3 linked regions of the Drosophila melanogaster genome follow. The protein of the gene in region 1 purifies or fractionates together with the protein of each later gene. This does not show direct contact. Each region holds a gene or a part of one and is shown in the gene's direction. Other genes may lie near its edges.

What was found. Proteins that work in one complex are often made in the same cells at the same time.
Region 2: the proteins of ZnT63C (region 1) and CG31729 purify together in Drosophila melanogaster (affinity purification with mass spectrometry, with the first as the bait; one large-scale study listed by BioGRID). This does not show direct contact.
Region 3: the proteins of ZnT63C (region 1) and Karybeta3 purify together in Drosophila melanogaster (affinity purification with mass spectrometry, with the first as the bait; one large-scale study listed by BioGRID). This does not show direct contact.

Annotation. Positions count from the first base shown.
Region 1 is NT_037436.4:3,301,781-3,306,751, forward strand, and holds the start of ZnT63C (zinc transporter 63C), read left to right. Parts: upstream 1-1,927; 5' UTR 1,928-2,072; exon of another isoform or gene 2,073-2,493; intron 2,494-2,821; 5' UTR 2,822-2,885; intron 2,886-4,971.
Region 2 is NT_033779.5:13,287,998-13,293,006, forward strand, and holds the start of CG31729 (uncharacterized protein), read left to right. Parts: upstream 1-1,999; 5' UTR 2,000-2,689; coding exon 2,690-3,294; intron 3,295-5,009. Other genes in the region: Uvrag (UV-resistance associated gene), read left to right, coding at 1-244, 308-630, 683-1,093, 1,179-1,293.
Region 3 is NT_033777.3:4,647,332-4,655,134, forward strand, and holds Karybeta3 (karyopherin beta 3), read left to right. Parts: upstream 1-1,844; 5' UTR 1,845-2,355; coding exon 2,356-2,436; intron 2,437-3,253; coding exon 3,254-3,403; intron 3,404-3,467; coding exon 3,468-4,562; intron 4,563-4,651; coding exon 4,652-6,005; intron 6,006-6,120; coding exon 6,121-6,758; 3' UTR 6,759-7,293; downstream 7,294-7,803. Other genes in the region: rpk (ripped pocket), read left to right, coding at 1-7, 64-807.

The DNA of each region.
Region 1 (4,971 bases):
GCAGCCCGCTGACCACTCCAATTGCCCAATGAATATAGGAGCATTATACCGGATATATGTACATATGTGTACATGTGTATATATTACAATGGCCATGCTGCAATAGTTGCATGTCTGCCAATTAATGACCGACGAGAGAAAACCGAATTAAAACCAAAACTGAAACGAATGGAAATAAATTCAGTGCAATGCATTTCACCTGTGTGACGTCATTTGCGAGCGAGAGGGGAAGCTTTCTGTGCAACAGCCAATACTTTTTTTTAGCTTTTTGTTCTACTTTGACTACCATTTTAATGCCAATGACCCAAGCGGATAACTAGTGACAATGGCCTGTGTTGTAGACACAAAACCCACGACTAATTGTGTGCTCATCTGATCTTTTGTTCTAACGCCATTTACAAGTTGCCTGATCCAGATTTTCAGGAAGATCACGTTCACAGCTATCGAATTTTGATATATTACCAAATTTGAAGCCCGCTGTTTTAGCCACATTACAACGTTTGCCACGCTAGTCCAATCTATGGCCATATAAATCTCAGCCTTACGCTCACCTTTGTACTCTCCTTATCGTTGTTTACTTTAGGGTTATTAACGAATTTTACATTTTAGAAGTTGTTCGAAAATGGCAATTTATTCTGTACGGCATACTATATACTATATGTGTTTTACATATTTTCTCCCCATACAATATGCCTACATATCATTGCCACTATCATTATGCCAACAACCATAACAATAACAATATCAGAGACAGGTTCGGTAGCACTCGCAGTCCAATTTAGATAATTTTCCACTGGACATTTCAGTTTAAGCGGTACGAAAGCCGGAAGCTGCTCATATGAGCATATCTCCTCTGTTCGTATAATAGATTTATCTTTTTTATCATAATTTGTTTACGGGCACTGCCGATGACTGTCATTTGTCGCACATATAGATTTGCGTATGTGGAGCTCGTACTAACTCCCTTCCATTCACAGTGACTAATTTACTAAATTTGGTTTCTTTTATTTACACTTTATTCACTTTATTTTCTCTTCAAGTTCCAATTGCCTGTTATCACGTAGGGAACATTTACCCATTCGCCTAATCTTATCACTCACTACTTCACGCACACGGGGAATTCAGCAAAGGTAAAATAGGTAAAAGTCTTATTGACTTTTTGACGAAAAATGGAAATAAGTCTTGAGTTAAACTAAATGCTGAAACGTGCTCAATATAATTCCGCTGATTTCTGAATTGATTATGGGGGTAGTCACTTTGGAATTACCGATTTTATGATGGCTTTGTTTCTTTGTACACCTGTTTCCTCGGCCGGTAAACGCGCTACTAACGAAATCCCCAATGATCGTGGTCAGTGATGCCGCTTTAGCCATGAATATTATCTTCAAAAAAGATTTTAAAGTTGGATGTTTCTACTAACAACTCACTTTTGCCCTGAAAATATATATATTCTTTTTTTTTGCCAAAATATTTTATTTTTTAGATAATTTCCTTATAAAGGCACGACATCACTAGTAAGTCATTTACCTTTCCCATCCAATACACAAACCAACTTTGAGCTTGAGTGCCATCGAGCTTTTTGTTGGTTAAAAGGGGTTAAACGCAGTTGTTGGTAGTTTTGCGTTAAACAAAGAGTTTAAGCTACATTATATTGAAATGTAACGCCTAAAAAAATAGATTTATTGTAAAGTAGCCCTTCACAAAAATATTTCGTATTAAAAGTGACAAAATGTATCAAAAGCCTGCCAGTTTTTTATTTCAATTACATTACTGGCTCCTATTTTGGTTTCTACTACATTTACTAGTTTTCAAACTTATTTTTGAAAGACCGCTTGTAACGGTCGATAGTCATTATTGTTAACCCGATAGAGCTGCACAAATATTATCGATATATTATTGGTATTTTCCAACTGCCCGGATGGATTTTCGATGACTGTGGCTGCAGTCACACTGAGTCGGGAAAATAATTATTTATTAAAAATTCGTGGACCCGCGCTGTACATCTGTGTCTGTGCTGTTCGCTCCGCTCCAAGTGCGGCAAAAAGCAACCAAGAAGGCAGGCAGCCCAATCGGTAATTTACGGCGGAGTAGTGAGGCGATATACGGAAATCGCGACCAGTGCACGTGCAATTGTGAATCGTTCTCGATTTTCCCGACCCGCACCCTTTCTTCTCTTTCGACCATTGTGACTGTGCACAATTAACTTGCATACATACGTGTATGTATGTACACACTCTGTTTGTATGTATGCGTGCCACCCCCAATTGAGGCGGAAAAAGGAGAAGCAAAGGAATTTCTGCAAAATCCAAGATGCCCATGCTATTTTCACTATTTTATTTTGCCAACTTTTCAGTCGACACTTTGCTCTTGCAGCAACAAAGCCAACAACGGCGAAAATTGGAAGTTATTTTCTTTTCTTTCTCCACTCTTTTTATCGCAAAACAACAGCAACACTGCCCGTGCACCGCTCTCCCCGCTCCCACTTGCGTCCTTGTTAATACAGTGAATATCGGCTAGCCACAAACAGGGGAAATACAAAGAATCTTAATTTGCATTTGTATGGTTGATAAAAAGTCAACTTATCAACTTATCTAAATCGTCAAACCAAAGTGACTTATACATTTGTAAACATTTTTAAGCGTTTTCCCTGTTTTAATTGCGAAAATAGTAAAGATATCGTGTTTTATTTTTATCAACAGTGCAGCGAAAGTTTTATAAAGTATACATATATTCAGTCAAATAATTATTAAAGTCCTATACTCTCCGTATACACTGGATTTGGTTTTTTATTAATTTTCAATTATGTGTATTTTGAATTTAGCCTCTTCAATTGGAGCTTAGGAACCTTAACAACCAAAGAACCGATTTCCAGACTTAAAGCTAAGGTAAGTTAAATACACCTATTATTCTTAGCCTCATTATCAATTTTTAATGAAACTTCAAAAAATAGATTGTAAGAGTGTTATATCTCTTTTCTTAGTTAAACATAATCTCGGAAATGATATCCATTATCTTACGTAGGGGATTTGCCTGCAGGAGACCTGCATCAGCATGTCTGTTATTGTTGCACGTGGGTCACCGAACTGGGCGGGTGTGGGCGTGGTCAGGTAGTAGCTGAGCATATCTGCATTTCAACAATCGATCTTAATCTGCGCTTGCTTTTGAGTTCCTTTCGTCTAGGACTTGTTATACTTGATTTATGGCCCCTTCCCGCGATTTCCCATCCTCGAAAACCGGTTGTTTTGACTTAATCATCGGTTCTCGCTGGTTATTTGATATGAAATTCTTTCTGACTCACAGCAGTTGTTTAAATTCTGGCGTGGAAATCCCGATCTTTTTCCTTATCAAGCCAAATAAATATGAAGGCTAATTTGCTATGTTTGAATTATTTTATTTAAATTACTTTTGAAAAACAAATAGGCAGTACAGCTATTAAATAGCAGGTTTTTATTTGTTAAAGCGTAATATCTTTCAGATTTTATAGATTCTAAATCTTCCCATATAGGTTTATTTTTCCTCATTAAGTCTTGCAAATTATGTTCGATTTTCTTTCTGTATCGGTTCTGAGATATTGTATGTTGCAGCGATTTTCACTGTTGCATAAAACTCTTGTATTCCGGGCCTAATTAAATCACTTTAAATGCCTGCTCGGTGTGGCTGAAATAATTCGATTTAAAGGTCAGGCACTCACCCAAGTGACTTTCCAACTCTTTTTGTTCTCGGCTCCCAGTCAGTCATCAGCGAAAATTGAGTGAGATCGAGGAGGAGGGGAAAATCAATATGTGCTAATATAATTTTGTGGCAAACAAATTAAAGCACACAGAACAGCTCGTCGTCGCTGCTCTGATTTGTTTAGCTATACGAATATGTACCATATTTATTCAGTTGATTTGGTTCAGTTTCAGTGGTGAATATTTGAGCAGCAGCATTTAATATTTGATACTGGCCAATTTGATTTGTGGGTAAGCACATTGACTACCGCCCAAAACTGAAATGCAGCCGAAAATGGGGCCAAAAGTGGGTTATGTTTGCTCCGACCACCATGCAAGCTGGCTTTGATTTACGACTGCAACTAAAGTAGGTTAACCTAGGTCCAGATAACTACTACATTCTGCTTCTCCAACGATACCATATTCTAATCTCAAAGTTGCCTGAGCTGCTGGCTTTCCAAGAGTAGAATCATGTACATGTGACCTTGACACGGTTTTCACTTGCTATGCAGGAAAAAGGGTTTCCCGCATCCACCGTACCGTATCCATTGAAATTTGATTTTGTTATTTGTTTATCGACGCCACTTCATGCAAATTGGAGAAATTCAGGTGGATATATTTTTAGCTGACACATCCATGCAATGTTTGCAAATGCATATATAGTATTCACCTTTCTGCCAGCCTGATGAAATTCTTTTGTATATTTTTCACTCTGTTCTCCGTTCTCGTGGAACTCAACCAGGTTGGACCACCCAACGCCCAGCTCCGTCTCTTACTTTGCCTTTCTCTGCGCCGCCCTTTTTCCAGAGCACCTCCGTCCGCCTTCCGTTCCCGGAGGTCGGGAAAAAGAACCGGGTTAATCGTCGCCACGTTGTCGCCGTGGAGAACAAATGACTCTTTTCGTTTGTGGGTCAACTGCAATTTTTGCCATTAATATAATTAATTGATTGCCATTTTGGTTTTAAATGTCGTAACTTTATGTGAGTGAAACGCACCTATTAAATGGGAATACTCACATAATAAAATTCAAAAGCGTTCACATCGCAAAATCTATAAGAATGCTAAAATTGTTTTCAGTGCTGCACTTCACACTTACGTAGCAAAAAGATTTACCCAATCTTAAAATTACTTTAATTCCTGCTTAATAAATCTTTCTACAAATTGCCGATCAATAAATCAACAGTGCGTCTAATTTGGCTTATCGAAATGCCCACTTTCGAGTACTTTGTACAACATTCTGTGCATAAGCGATCGATTTGCG
Region 2 (5,009 bases), on another chromosome or scaffold:
GCTAACTAGAAGGATAGAAGCGCTAAGCAGTCAACAGCGGCTACTTAAAGCGGAGCGGGAAACGTTTCGCCAACGAAACGAGCGCACCCGTCAACTTCTGAAGGAGATGAGAGAACAGCGGGAGGCACAGCAATGGGAGCTCCACAGCCAGCGACATCGACTGGAAAAAGAACGTCTGGAGCTACGAACCCTGGCACCTCAACATCTGGAACAGCGCGATCAAAAAAGACAAATAGAACGGCAGGTGGGGCTGCGGAATCAAATAACATTAAACAAGTATATTAATAAACCTTTTCACCCTTTTAAGGTGGAGCGCCGAATGTCCACACTGGTGTTGGAGCTACAGGAGATCTATAACATCCAGAATGTGGGCGGTCGGCAATTTAGTATCTGCGGCATCGCCTTCCCCCACATGGAGCAATACACGAGCGAGTCACGTCAGGCGGCAAACGCACAGCTTCTGGATAACGTCTCGCCGCTGGCAGTGAGTGCGGCACTGGGTTATGTTGCCCATTTGGTGCAGATGTTAGCCATCATTATGGATCGACCTCTGAGGAACCGTATTCTGTACGAGCCATCGAAAGCAAGGATAGTGGACGATATCAAAGAGTTGACGTACACAACAAGAGAGTAAGCACACAGACTAAATATTACCTTTTGGTATCTTATTGTTCCATCTTAGATTTCCTCTGTATACACGCTCCATTTTGCCGTCGCAGCAAACAAAGTATGCCATCTACCTTTTGCGCCAGAATGTTTCGCAGCTGTGCTTCGACATCACGGGCCAGTGCGATCTGCGAAACACTTTTGGCAATCTGCTGGAGCTATTCAGCACTCTTCGCTACATCGAACGAACGCAAAGGGATGAGGTCGACGAACGGGATGGAACTGCAGTTGGAGCTGGCTGTGGAGAAGCACGCTTGGCAAATGGGTTGACGGCGCCGCACCTGTCGCAATCGCACTCTTCGGTCGACATGAATCATGTGCCACTGCCGACTGGCGTCAATGCGGTCAAGGATGCACTGCTCCAGCAGCTGTTGCCGCCGGGTGTGAGTGAGGCACTGGCAATCGAAGGCTATGCGTCAACTCAACGGTAATCTATATATACATATATTTAGAGCCAAAAACAAAAACTACCGGATAAAATTTAATAATAATATATTGTAATATTCTTGCAGCATTTGCCGTTCGGTGGGGTCCTATTCAGATGGCGAGGATGAGTTTCGCCCGCGACTGGAGCATAACTATTCCAATTCGGACTCCAACATAACTCTGCAAACTGAGCGCAGCTGAGCTAATGCACCCAAAAGTGTTATATTTCCAGCGTTTATATCCAATATCCAAGATAGCATTGTTTAGCGGCTCCTCCTCAGCGGGTTTCTTGGTATTGGCCGCGTATTGTATACTTTTAAATTATAAAAGTCAATGGTGAAGTATATGTGAACGGTAGTCCATTGCGATAATATTATTTTTAGTTGTTTAAGATCTCTGTGTAAATTCCCTTTTATTGTTTGTTTGCTAATATAAGCTACGAATAAAGATTAAATATTTTATACATGACAAATATTTATTTAATATGGATGACAAACATTAGAAACACGTCGATAGAGATTAAGTCGAACAATATCCAAGGTCACAATAAACGAAGTGGTTACGATGCGGAAAACCTAAGCCTTTCTTCATATGTTCTGAAATAATGCTGAGCCCCAAAATTAGTTTATTTGTATATTCTGTTTGAAAAGTATTTTTATGAGTTTTAATTATAGTTTGAATTAGGCGCCAAAAAGTGTTGCAAAGTATGAAGATAAATTGCTCCTTTAACTTATAAAAATTATACCATGTGCTACTGTTACTACATAATATTGTACAATCTGCTTATATTAACTTTTGCTTTATAATTTAAAATGTAAGTTTTGCTTTAAATCCTTAATAAACTCAAAATATTACAGCCACTGCTTGGTCAGTGCTGCAAAACGTTCCGTTCCGTTAACAGTGGTCTGTAAAGCCAGCTGATTAGCATTTCGCCAAAATTATTTCGCTGGCAACTTGCTTCCGGGATTTGAATGTTTTTCGGGCTACATCCGGGCTATTAATAAATAAAAAATGTGTTGTCAAATACCCAAACAACGTCCAAACGTAGTGCGATAATCGATTTAATAATTGAAAACGCGAAAAGCCTGCAAACCAACGTGCTAAATGAAGTGCATGTGCATATGTGTGTGTGGCCCGGGCCTTGGCCTTTTATTTATCGAATTCGTATCAATTAAATTAAAACGCTGAGCAATAGTAGGCAATTGGTATTTATGGTGACGATTTGGTAGCCGGCAACTGTAGCCACTGATAAGCGGACGACGGGGAATGCCTGTGATTTACGCGTATATATAGTGTGTTTACCCTACCTGTTTACCGCTCAAATAAAAAATAAAAGAATAAAACTCCAGGTGTGATAAGGAGCAGCCGTCGTTCACGCCTGAAAATTGCTCAATGGAAACGTGGCAATAAGACTAACTGAGTACCCAGCATTTAATTTTTCTGAGATAATATCATCTGAAAGTGAGAGTAAAACTGCATTTCTGGTGCTAATTAGTTAAATTCAGGCGCCAAAACTCTTTCGAACAGCTCTTTTAATCAAAACTTATTACTTTAAGCTGACTACGCTTGCTCTCTTTTAAGCTCTCTTGTTTTGAAAATGGCTGAGAGCAATGTACCGCTACGAGATTTCGACGAAGAGAGCGAAACGGATTCGGAGACCGAATTGCTCATACGCCGCGATGTACCGAGCGGTAAACAGAACAACAACAACATTAGGGGGCGACGCAAAAGCTCCATGGGCTACAGCGGCGTCGACGCCGGCGCTGGCAGCTCTGCCGCCGGCGGCGGAGGCAGCTTTCTGGGCAATCTTTTCGGATCCAACAGTTTTGGCTCTGCCGCCGGCCAGATACGTTATAGAAATGAGCGGAGTCGCGAGCGCGCCAAACACTCAAACGGTAGCTACAGCAGCATTTCGAAACTGGCGCAATTAACGCACACGTCATCGGGCGTCGCGGGGGCGGGATCGATCGGTGGCGGTGGTGGTGGGAGTGGCAGTGCCACCGGCATTAAAGTAACCACTGGCGATGGCAGTGTAGCGGCATCTGGAGGATCTGCTGCCACGGGGGATCTCAGCAATGGCGCTACGCACAGCACAACCGTCATAGATCCGGAAAATGGCTCATCCACGGTCTTCTACCAGCACAATCGGCGTAAAAGCAAGAGTCGCAGCATTGGCAACGTCTGCAAGTTGTGCCTCTGCAGGTGAGTGTGCATTCGGTGCGATCCAGTCGTTACCCTCCAATGCCAACGCTGCGTATGCGCAATATTTCCATTTCACTGCTGCAATAGTTGGCGGCAGCGGGAGTAATGCGAAAGTATATAGTGCCGCAACAGCTGTTCACTGGCCAGCAAAATATTGGGAATTCAAGTGTTACCTTTAGGGAAAATGGTTAAATGTTTTATATTTTCGCACATAAGCGTTTAATGGCGATTGAGACCCTTTTACTTTTACCACAAGGTATTGAATAAATTATAACTATAGCAGGAAGCAAAAGTTTTAATCTATCACATTAAGACCTCGAAAATTTGTATATTTTTGAAGAAATATTATCTCTTATCGCTTCAATTTAAATGTCTTATGAAATAAATTAGTTTTGTGGAATTTTATAATCTGTGTTTCCGTAGATAGTTGACTTTGAACGTAGAATACCATTGCTCATAAAATGCTGACAACACTAGGTATAAAACTGTTTTTCATCGTAAACTTCTATAAATAATTGAAATGTATATTAAATATTTGGCAAGAAAAAACGTTGACCTCTGTAACGTTCTAGACATTCTATCACTTTCGCAACTCAACAGTTGTTATGGCAAACAAGTTGTTGTTTTGTTTCTGCCACTTGAAATATTTGTTTATTATTTTTTGGCATGAGCCAAATCATTGTGTGGTTTCCCAAAATGAGCAGCGTTGTCTTGCAATTTGATGTTCTTCTTAACTTAGAACTTTTACGAAACACATTTCCAAGAAAATAAATTCTAGCTGAATGTGTGAGAATTTGTGCGCCACACATGTGTGACATACACAATGAATGCAACTGTATGTAAAGCATATATGTATAGCATATATATATAACGATTCCAAGATATATTTTTAATTTACCTAATTAGAGAGAACTTTTGAGAAAGGCCGCACATGCGAACAAGCAAGCACGTCTGTAAGTGGATCGTAGAAAGAAAATTAAAAACATTTCGTTTTCTGCGCGCCGTCGACGGACTGTGCAAATCGATAAACGTGACGACTTCCAAGACTGGGGGAAAAGATTTCGACGAATGGAAAATAATAACAAAAACACGGCTATAAATAGTGGCCAAGACGAGCGACTTGGTTGGGTGACAAGGCATAAACGAAACGCAAACATTGCCATCCATGCCCCGCCTTTCCTTGCCATTTCCTTGCTCCACACCCACTAAGCGAGCGTTTTTCTTATTATTTTGTTTTGTTTTTGTTTTAGAGTACAAACTCTTGTTGCCGCAAAACTTTGGCCAAAAATATCACACACAACACCACCCGTTAGCTGTGCATTTTTAATCGATGTTTGCCGTGCGACTTTAAGCCCCATTGGTGGGCGAACGAAAATAAGAAACATGAACGAAAACGACTCAAGAAGTCACCAAGAAATGCTAAAAAATTCGAAAACCAGTTCCTCAGCTGGTTTTGGCCACACAACACAATCTTGTATTCAAGGTTTCTAAAAAATACAAACGAGTTGCACACAAGAAGTGAGTCGCTTTAGGGTTTTTAGTTTTACTTTTTCGGTCGGACTCTGCTTTCTGTGTTAAAAATTGAAAGTTTCTCTGCCGCCCAACTTCAAATAATTGCAGCATAGATCTGCAGATTGATATGGTTATTTAAACTTCTAAATTTTCTATGTTGACAAAGCGTTTCCTTATGTGAACATCTATTTGTCACTTGAATG
Region 3 (7,803 bases), on another chromosome or scaffold:
TGAAAACGTAGCTGTTTGCTTTTTCTTGCTCCAATATGTGTCTACAGTAATGCCAATCTACAGGTACTGCTTCATGCGCCCGATGACGTCCCGCAGGTTTCCAAACAGTTTGTGCGCATTCCCATGGGCAAGGAGGTGCTGATCGCAGTGAAGCCCAACATGATCACCATGTCGTCGGGAATAGCAGAGTACCATCCAGTTCGGAGGCAGTGCTTCCTCAGCCACGAGCGGTCGCTGCGTTTTTTTAAGGTGTACACCGAATCAAATTGCCAACTGGAGTGCTTGGCCAACTTCACGCTGACCAAGTGCGGATGCGTTAAGTTCTCGATGCCCAGAAACGTGGACATGCCTGTATGCGGAGAGGACAAGATCCACTGCTACGATCGGGCAGAAAGGGAGTTGTTAGTCAGGGAATTCAAAAGAGTAAAAGCGCTGAACGCTGGCCGAGAAAATTCGCGGAGCGTGGAATCTGCCTGTAACTGCATGCCAGCATGCACATCCCTCGTCTACAACACGGAGATTTCCCAGGCCAACTTTGATTTGGAAGAAATGCTAGTGGCTGAGGGCGACACTGAGTTCCTGAAGGAGTATCCCGGCTCCCAGATGTCCCGCTTGTCCATTTACTTCAAGCAGAGTCAGTTCATCACTTCAAAGCGGTCGGAGCTTTACGGAATGACCGAGTTTCTGGCGAATTGCGGTGGCATTTTCGGTCTATTCATGGGGTTCTCCATCTTGAGTCTTGTGGAAATGATCTACCACTTCACGTTGCGGCTCTTTACCAATCTGAAGCGCCTGGTTAAAGGATAACCCATTAGCACTATTTCGTAAGTGCGAACAATTCTTATGGTTCCAAAAATTGTGGTTTGAACTAGTTATATACATATTTATACTAATGCTTAGTCTAGCAGAAATTTTTCAATATATGCCATACTAGGTAATTTCAAAACATAGCTGACATAAAAACCAAGACGGAGTCAGTCTTCCCGAACATTTTCAACAGTGGCTTCGATGTCATAATGTCATTATATAACTCAGAATCGGCTGAATTTATTGATTCCAATCTGTGTCGAGTCTTCCGCAAGGACATCCTTCAGCTGAATGTCTTAAACTCTTCAAATGCGACCCAATTTTGGATATATATTTCATATATATTATTTATCAGGCCCATATGGACACCATCTTCCACGTTTATGCTATCTTGAAGGTCTATGATGCCCGTTAACTTAGCACATGAATTCAGAGTAATCGATGATTTTCATAGCTCAACCACCTTACTAATGTCTTCAATGTTTTAATCAACATAATCAACATTTAGTACACACCGACAGCGGTGTATTATCTATAGTCTATCTTATAATCTAGAGTCTGTTCAGAATTTCATTGGGGGTCCTTTACTTTCGAATAATTGCCTTGAAACGAATTGTAACAACCTTATAGTGGCCTCACAGCTGCACATTAACAGCAATGCTTCTTCCGAGGTGTTAGGGTCTTAAATGATCGCAAGAAATACATATGTAAATACAATAATTGAATAAATATTACTTATCATGTCTAGATCGCAGCCCATGTGCAGCTTCTTTTTAAGCTTTTCGGTTCAAGAAAAGCCTTGCCTTTCATCATTTTCACCAATGATTGTTATTGTATTTAGAAAACCTGCACACAAATCGGTGAATGGTGCACTCGGAATAATATGCCATTAGATTTAAATGAGTTTCAAGCCATTTCTTGTTTCTAGCTTACAATATATATATATAATTTACATAGTTATTTTAAACAAGAAACAAACCATTTAAATCTAGGCTACCTGACTTTTTCTTTTAAATACACACAATTCATTCAGTCCTACGGTCTTTGGAAATAGATTGTAATTTTTAGAAATACTTTGTGTTCTCACACTAACACAGTTCTATTTCCGTTAAAAGATCATAATCAACTGTTAAACTTTAGCTAGAGTTTTTGACGGTTCTACAAACGCGCCAGCTATCGGGCATCACTAGTGCGGGCGGCCGCTTGCGCGCCAAAAGCAGTCGCGTTTTATCGATAACGGCGGAGCAGTATTGCCTTAGCGCTTTAGCGAGATTCCAGCGTGTCCACTAAATTGCATAAAAAGTTAAATAAAAGAAAGTTGGATAGGCCGCGCAGCAGCAGCACCCACCAAAGACCAACCATCCCAAGATTCACGGCAATCACGAAAACTGACCAAGAGTGCAGTGCGCTTGTTTGCGAACCTTGGCAACCCAGCCAGTTGTTCCGTTCTGCTCTTTTTAGGCGGCCGCCGTTGCGTGAAGACTGAAGTGAAAATCGTGGTTTCCACGAGTTCCCGTGTTTCGATTCATTTGAACCAGACAGGATAAGATGGCAGCGGATCAGGCCCATTTCCAGCAGCTTCTGGCCTCCCTCTTGTCCACGGACAACGATGTTCGCCAGCAGGCGGAGGTGAGTCCCAATATTCTCGATTACGGCGTGGCAGGGGATCTTGCAGAGCGTATTGCCGTCGCCTCGAAATTTCGATGCGCAATTCCCGCAATGGGTTGCACATGAGCAAAAATATACGGCGGACTGCCATCAATAAGATCTTCTCCCGGCACATATGTATGTATACACACGAACAAACGTCGGTGTGCGAATCCTACGGCCGAAATTTCAGACGAATCTGATTCATCGTACAAAACGTGTTTTCGCCCTCCGCTTTGCCCCGACATTCGCATGTGTGCGAGGGAGAGCCGACGGACAGACGGTGCGAAGCAAGCAAACAAAGCAAAATGGAAGCGAATTGTGCAATTTGCATGGCCGCCACATGATTTTCCATTAGAATTCGTAGTAGGCAATTCGGTTTACCGATTGCCGCCGCAAACGGAAACAAAGAGCAGGTGCGAAATCCATGACACACGGTTCCAGAAATGCAATCTGTCGGTTGATAAGCCACTCGGATTCCGAAGTCTCGCTCCGGCGCCACATGGCACCGCCACGCCCACGCCACACCAGCCAGAAAACCCCACCCACTCTGTTGACCTTGGGCAGATGGCAAGCATGGTACCGCTTCCACCCAAAGTTCCACCTGGATTGCTAAAAATACCTATTCAGAATTGTGACTTTGCTTTTCACTTGAGAGATGGAAATAATCGAGATCCGTTTTAAATTGTTTCAGAGCCCAATGTTGTCAAGGTGGAATTGTATTTACATATATAAATAATATTTATATATTTTAAAATTACATCGAATGGATATGTACAAAAACCATTTTTAATTCCAGGAAGCATACAACAATCTTTCAAGAGAGCTGAAGGTGACGCATCTCCTGGGCAACATCCAAAATGGCCAGCAGTCGGAGGAGGCTCGACAGATGGCCGCCGTGTTGCTGCGCCGCCTGTTTACCACCGAGTTCTTTGATTTCTACAAAGGGGTAGGCATAAAGCCGCGCAGAGAATCGCCCTCTGAGCATCTTTCTAATATTACCTCATTTGCAGCTTCCAGCTGAATCCCAGAACCAATTGCTTCAGCAGATCCTTTTGGCCGTGCAGCAGGAGGTGACGCCGCAGCTGCGTCGCAAGATTTGCGAGGTAGTTGCCGAGGTGGCCAGGAATCTGATCGACGAGGACTGCAACAACCAGTGGCCCGACATCTTGCAGTTTCTCTTTCAATGCGCTAACTCGCCTACGCCGCAGCTGCAGGAATCGGCACTGCGGATCTTCTCTAGTGTGCCTTCCATATTTGGAAACCAGGAAGCTCAGTACATTGATCTGATCAAGCAGATGCTTGCCAAGAGCATGGACGCTGGATCCGATCCGGAGGTCCGAGTACAGGCCGTGCGAGCCGTCGGAGCCTTCATCCTCTACCACGACAAGGAGAACGAGACGGCCATCCACAAGCACTTCGCTGATATGCTGCCCCGCATGATCCACATCACTGGCGAGACCATCGAGGCCCAGGATGATCAGAGTCTGCTAAAGCTCCTGATTGAGATGACCGAGAATTGCCCGAAGTTCCTGCGTCCCCAGCTGGAGTTCATTTTTGAGGTCTGCATGAAGGTTTTCAGCTCGCAGGACTTTGAGGACAGCTGGCGTCACCTAGTGTTGGAAGTTATGGTGTCGCTCGCCGAGAACGCCCCGTCGATGATACGCAAGCGAGCGGACAAGTATATCGTGGCCCTGATCCCGCTGATTCTCCATATGATGACGGATTTGGATGATGACGAGAACTGGTCCACCGCCGACGTGGTCGATGATGACGATCACAGCGACAACAACGTGATCGCCGAGTCCTCGCTGGATCGCCTCGCCTGTGGATTGGGAGGAAAGATTGTGCTTCCGCTCGTAATGAACGCTCTGCCGGTTATGTTGGGTCATGCCGATTGGAAACATCGCTTCGCAGCCCTCATGGCCATCTCGGCCATCGGTGAGGGTTGTCACAAGCAGATGGAAGCCATCCTAGATGAGGTAATGTCCGGAGTCCTGAACTTCCTGAGCGATCCTCATCCTCGCGTTCGATACGCCGCTTGCAACGCCATTGGCCAAATGTCCACCGACTTTGCACAGACCTTCGAGAAGAAGTTCCACAGCCAGGTGAGTCTTAAATTGCAACTGCTTTATCAACTTTCTAATAAGCAATTGAAATTAATTAAATGCTTAACAATTTTCCCTTGTTTCGCCAGGTGATTCCCGGCCTCTTGTCTCTTTTGGATGACGTGGAAAATCCGCGAGTGCAAGCACACGCAGGTGCCGCTCTGGTGAACTTCAGCGAGGACTGCCCGAAAAATATATTGACACGCTACCTGGACGGGATCATGGCCAAGCTGGAGACTATTCTGAACTCGAAGTTCAAGGAGCTGGTGGAGAAGGGAAACAAGCTGGTACTGGAGCAGGTAGTGACGACAATTGCATCGGTTGCAGACACCTGCGAATCGGAATTTGTGGCCTACTACGATCGCCTAATGCCATGCCTTAAGTTCATCATCCAGAACGCCAACTCGGATGATCTCCGCATGCTTCGCGGCAAGACCATTGAATGCGTGAGCTTGATAGGATTGGCGGTGGGGCGGGAGAAGTTTATTGGTGATGCCGGAGAAGTCATGGATATGCTGCTGGTCAATCACACCGAGGGGGGGGAACTAGCTGATGATGATCCGCAGACCTCCTATCTCATCACTGCCTGGGCACGTATGTGCAAAATCCTTGGCAAGCAATTTGAGCAATATCTGCCCCTCGTTATGGGACCAGTGATGCGAACGGCCACCATGAAGCCTGAGGTGGCGATGCTGGACAACGACGAGGTGGAGGACATCGACGGTGATGTGGACTGGTCTTTCATTAATCTTGGCGAGCAGCAGAACTTCGCCATTCGCACGGCTGGCATGGACGACAAGGCTTCGGCCTGTGAGATGCTGGTTTGTTATGCTAGGGAACTAAAGGAAGGATTTGCCGAATACGCTGAGGACGTGGTGCGTCAAATGCTGCCCATGCTTAAGTTCTACTTCCACGACGGTGTCCGCACAGCTGCTGCTGAGTCGCTGCCTTACCTTCTCGACTGCGCAAAAATTAAGGGTCCACAGTATCTGGAGGGCATGTGGATGTTCATTTGTCCGGAGCTGCTCAAGGTAATCGTCACGGAACCGGAGCCAGACGTGCAGTCGGAGCTGCTGAATTCGCTGGCAAAATGCATTGAGACATTGGGTCCGAATTGCCTTAACGAGGATGCCATGAAACAAGTTCTCGAGATTATAAACAAGTATGTTCTGGAGCATTTCGAGCGTGCTGACAAGCGTTTGGCGGCTCGCAATGAGGAAGACTACGACGACGGTGTGGAGGAGGAGCTGGCCGAGCAGGACGACACAGATGTTTACATCCTTTCCAAAATCGTGGACATTACACACGCCCTTTTCCAGACCAACAAGGCTCAGTTCTTACCCGCCTTTGAACAGGTGGCTCCGCACTTTGTCAAGCTACTGGAGCCCAGCCGACCTGTAGCTGATCGGCAGTGGGGCTTATGCGTGTTCGATGATCTGATCGGTGAGTTGGTTTTCTTAATTGAGTTTTGCAGTTCAATAGTACCGCCGATACCTTCAAACATCAAATCATTTGTGCCACCATAAAACTAAAGACTTGTATTCTCATTTACCTACAGAATTTTGTGGCCCCGCTTGTGCTCCATACCAGCAGATCTTTACGCCAGCCCTCGTCCAGTACGTGTGCGATAAGGCCCCAGAAGTGCGCCAGGCGGCTGCCTACGGATGCGGGGTGCTCGGCCAATTCGCTGGTGAGCAGTTTGCGCATACATGCGCCCAGATCATTCCACTGCTGGTGCAGGTCATCAACGATCCCAAAGCCCGCGAAATCGAGAACATCAGTCCGACAGAGAATGCGATCTCGGCGTTTGCTAAGATCCTCAAGTACAACAACTCGGCGCTGAGCAACGTGGACGAGCTGATCGGTGTTTGGTTCTCATGGCTGCCGGTGTCCGAGGATTCGGAAGAAGCCGCCCACATCTATGGCTACCTATGCGACTTGATTGAAGGCAACCATCCGGTCATTCTTGGGGCAAACAACGGCAATCTGCCGCGCATTGTCTCCATCATCGCTGAATCCTTCTGCACCAAGGTGGTTGAGGCGCAGTCCGCCACCGGCACTCGTATGCTCACTATCGTCAAACAAGTGGAATCGAATCCGGAGGTAATGGCTGCTTGTGCCAGCACCTTGAGCCCGGAACAGCAGCAGGCGCTGCAGGATGCCTACCGGGAGCTGGCAAACGTGGCTCCCGCCTAAGATATCGCAATCCCAATCCTCTTCAGACCAAGTCCATTCATGTCGACCAAGCCAAGAAAGGAACGATGGATGCTTCAGCTACTCGTTATCATTATTTTTCATCTTACCGAAATTTTGAAGTATATGTTTAACACATAGATATCCATTTATACAGATATACATTTATGTGTACAATAGAGTTATCCGGGTATATAATTCTATACATATTGTGATTTTAATCAAAACTCTTCTCCCGAAGACAAAAGTCTGCCTCGTTAGAATTTGATATGTTGTATGGATGCGATCCAAATGCCATCCCAATCACACCCAAATTCCAATAGAATATTTTCGTTACTCAAATTTTCATATGTTTAATACATATGTGTGTATATACGGCCCTAACGGCCGCCTCTCCCTGCGGGGAAAACAGGATGTAAACGTTGTCCGAATCGAACGAAATATAATTTTGTGCATTCAAACCAGGATCGACAAATATATTTAAAGGAATAACATTTATTGTATTTTAAACATGATAAAAACGAAATAAATAACAAGTAAATCGATATTTTAATTGCCACGAGCTTATGTTTTAGTATTGCTTTTTATTATTAACCATTCATTCAATTTCAAATTCGATTCCCGCAAAAGACTTTTCAAAAGTCGTTGTGGCAACTCTGTCTGTGGCAGTGAACATGCAGAGGCCTCCTAAACAGCTGATCTGATTCGCAATGGAAAGTAAGCAAATCAAAACAAAGATGGAAAAACTTGGAACATTCAACTCGAATGGAAAACACACATTTTAACATGTTATTTACGAATTTAAGTGATATTAGGCAAACGATATTCTCACTTTAAAGGTGTGCGACTAAACAGGAGCAGAAAATAATTCGTAAAATTAGTGAGAAAATAGCGAAAGAGAGCGTTTCTCTGTTTGCTTTCTAAATCATTAGGTGACTTGGTGGGCAAAGTGCAGATTAAACGCTCAGAATCAGACGAAACCAAAACCCAAAGGTGAGTGAGTGCAACAGGTAGACGGTGAGTGCAGCGGAAGGGCGGATGCGGTTTC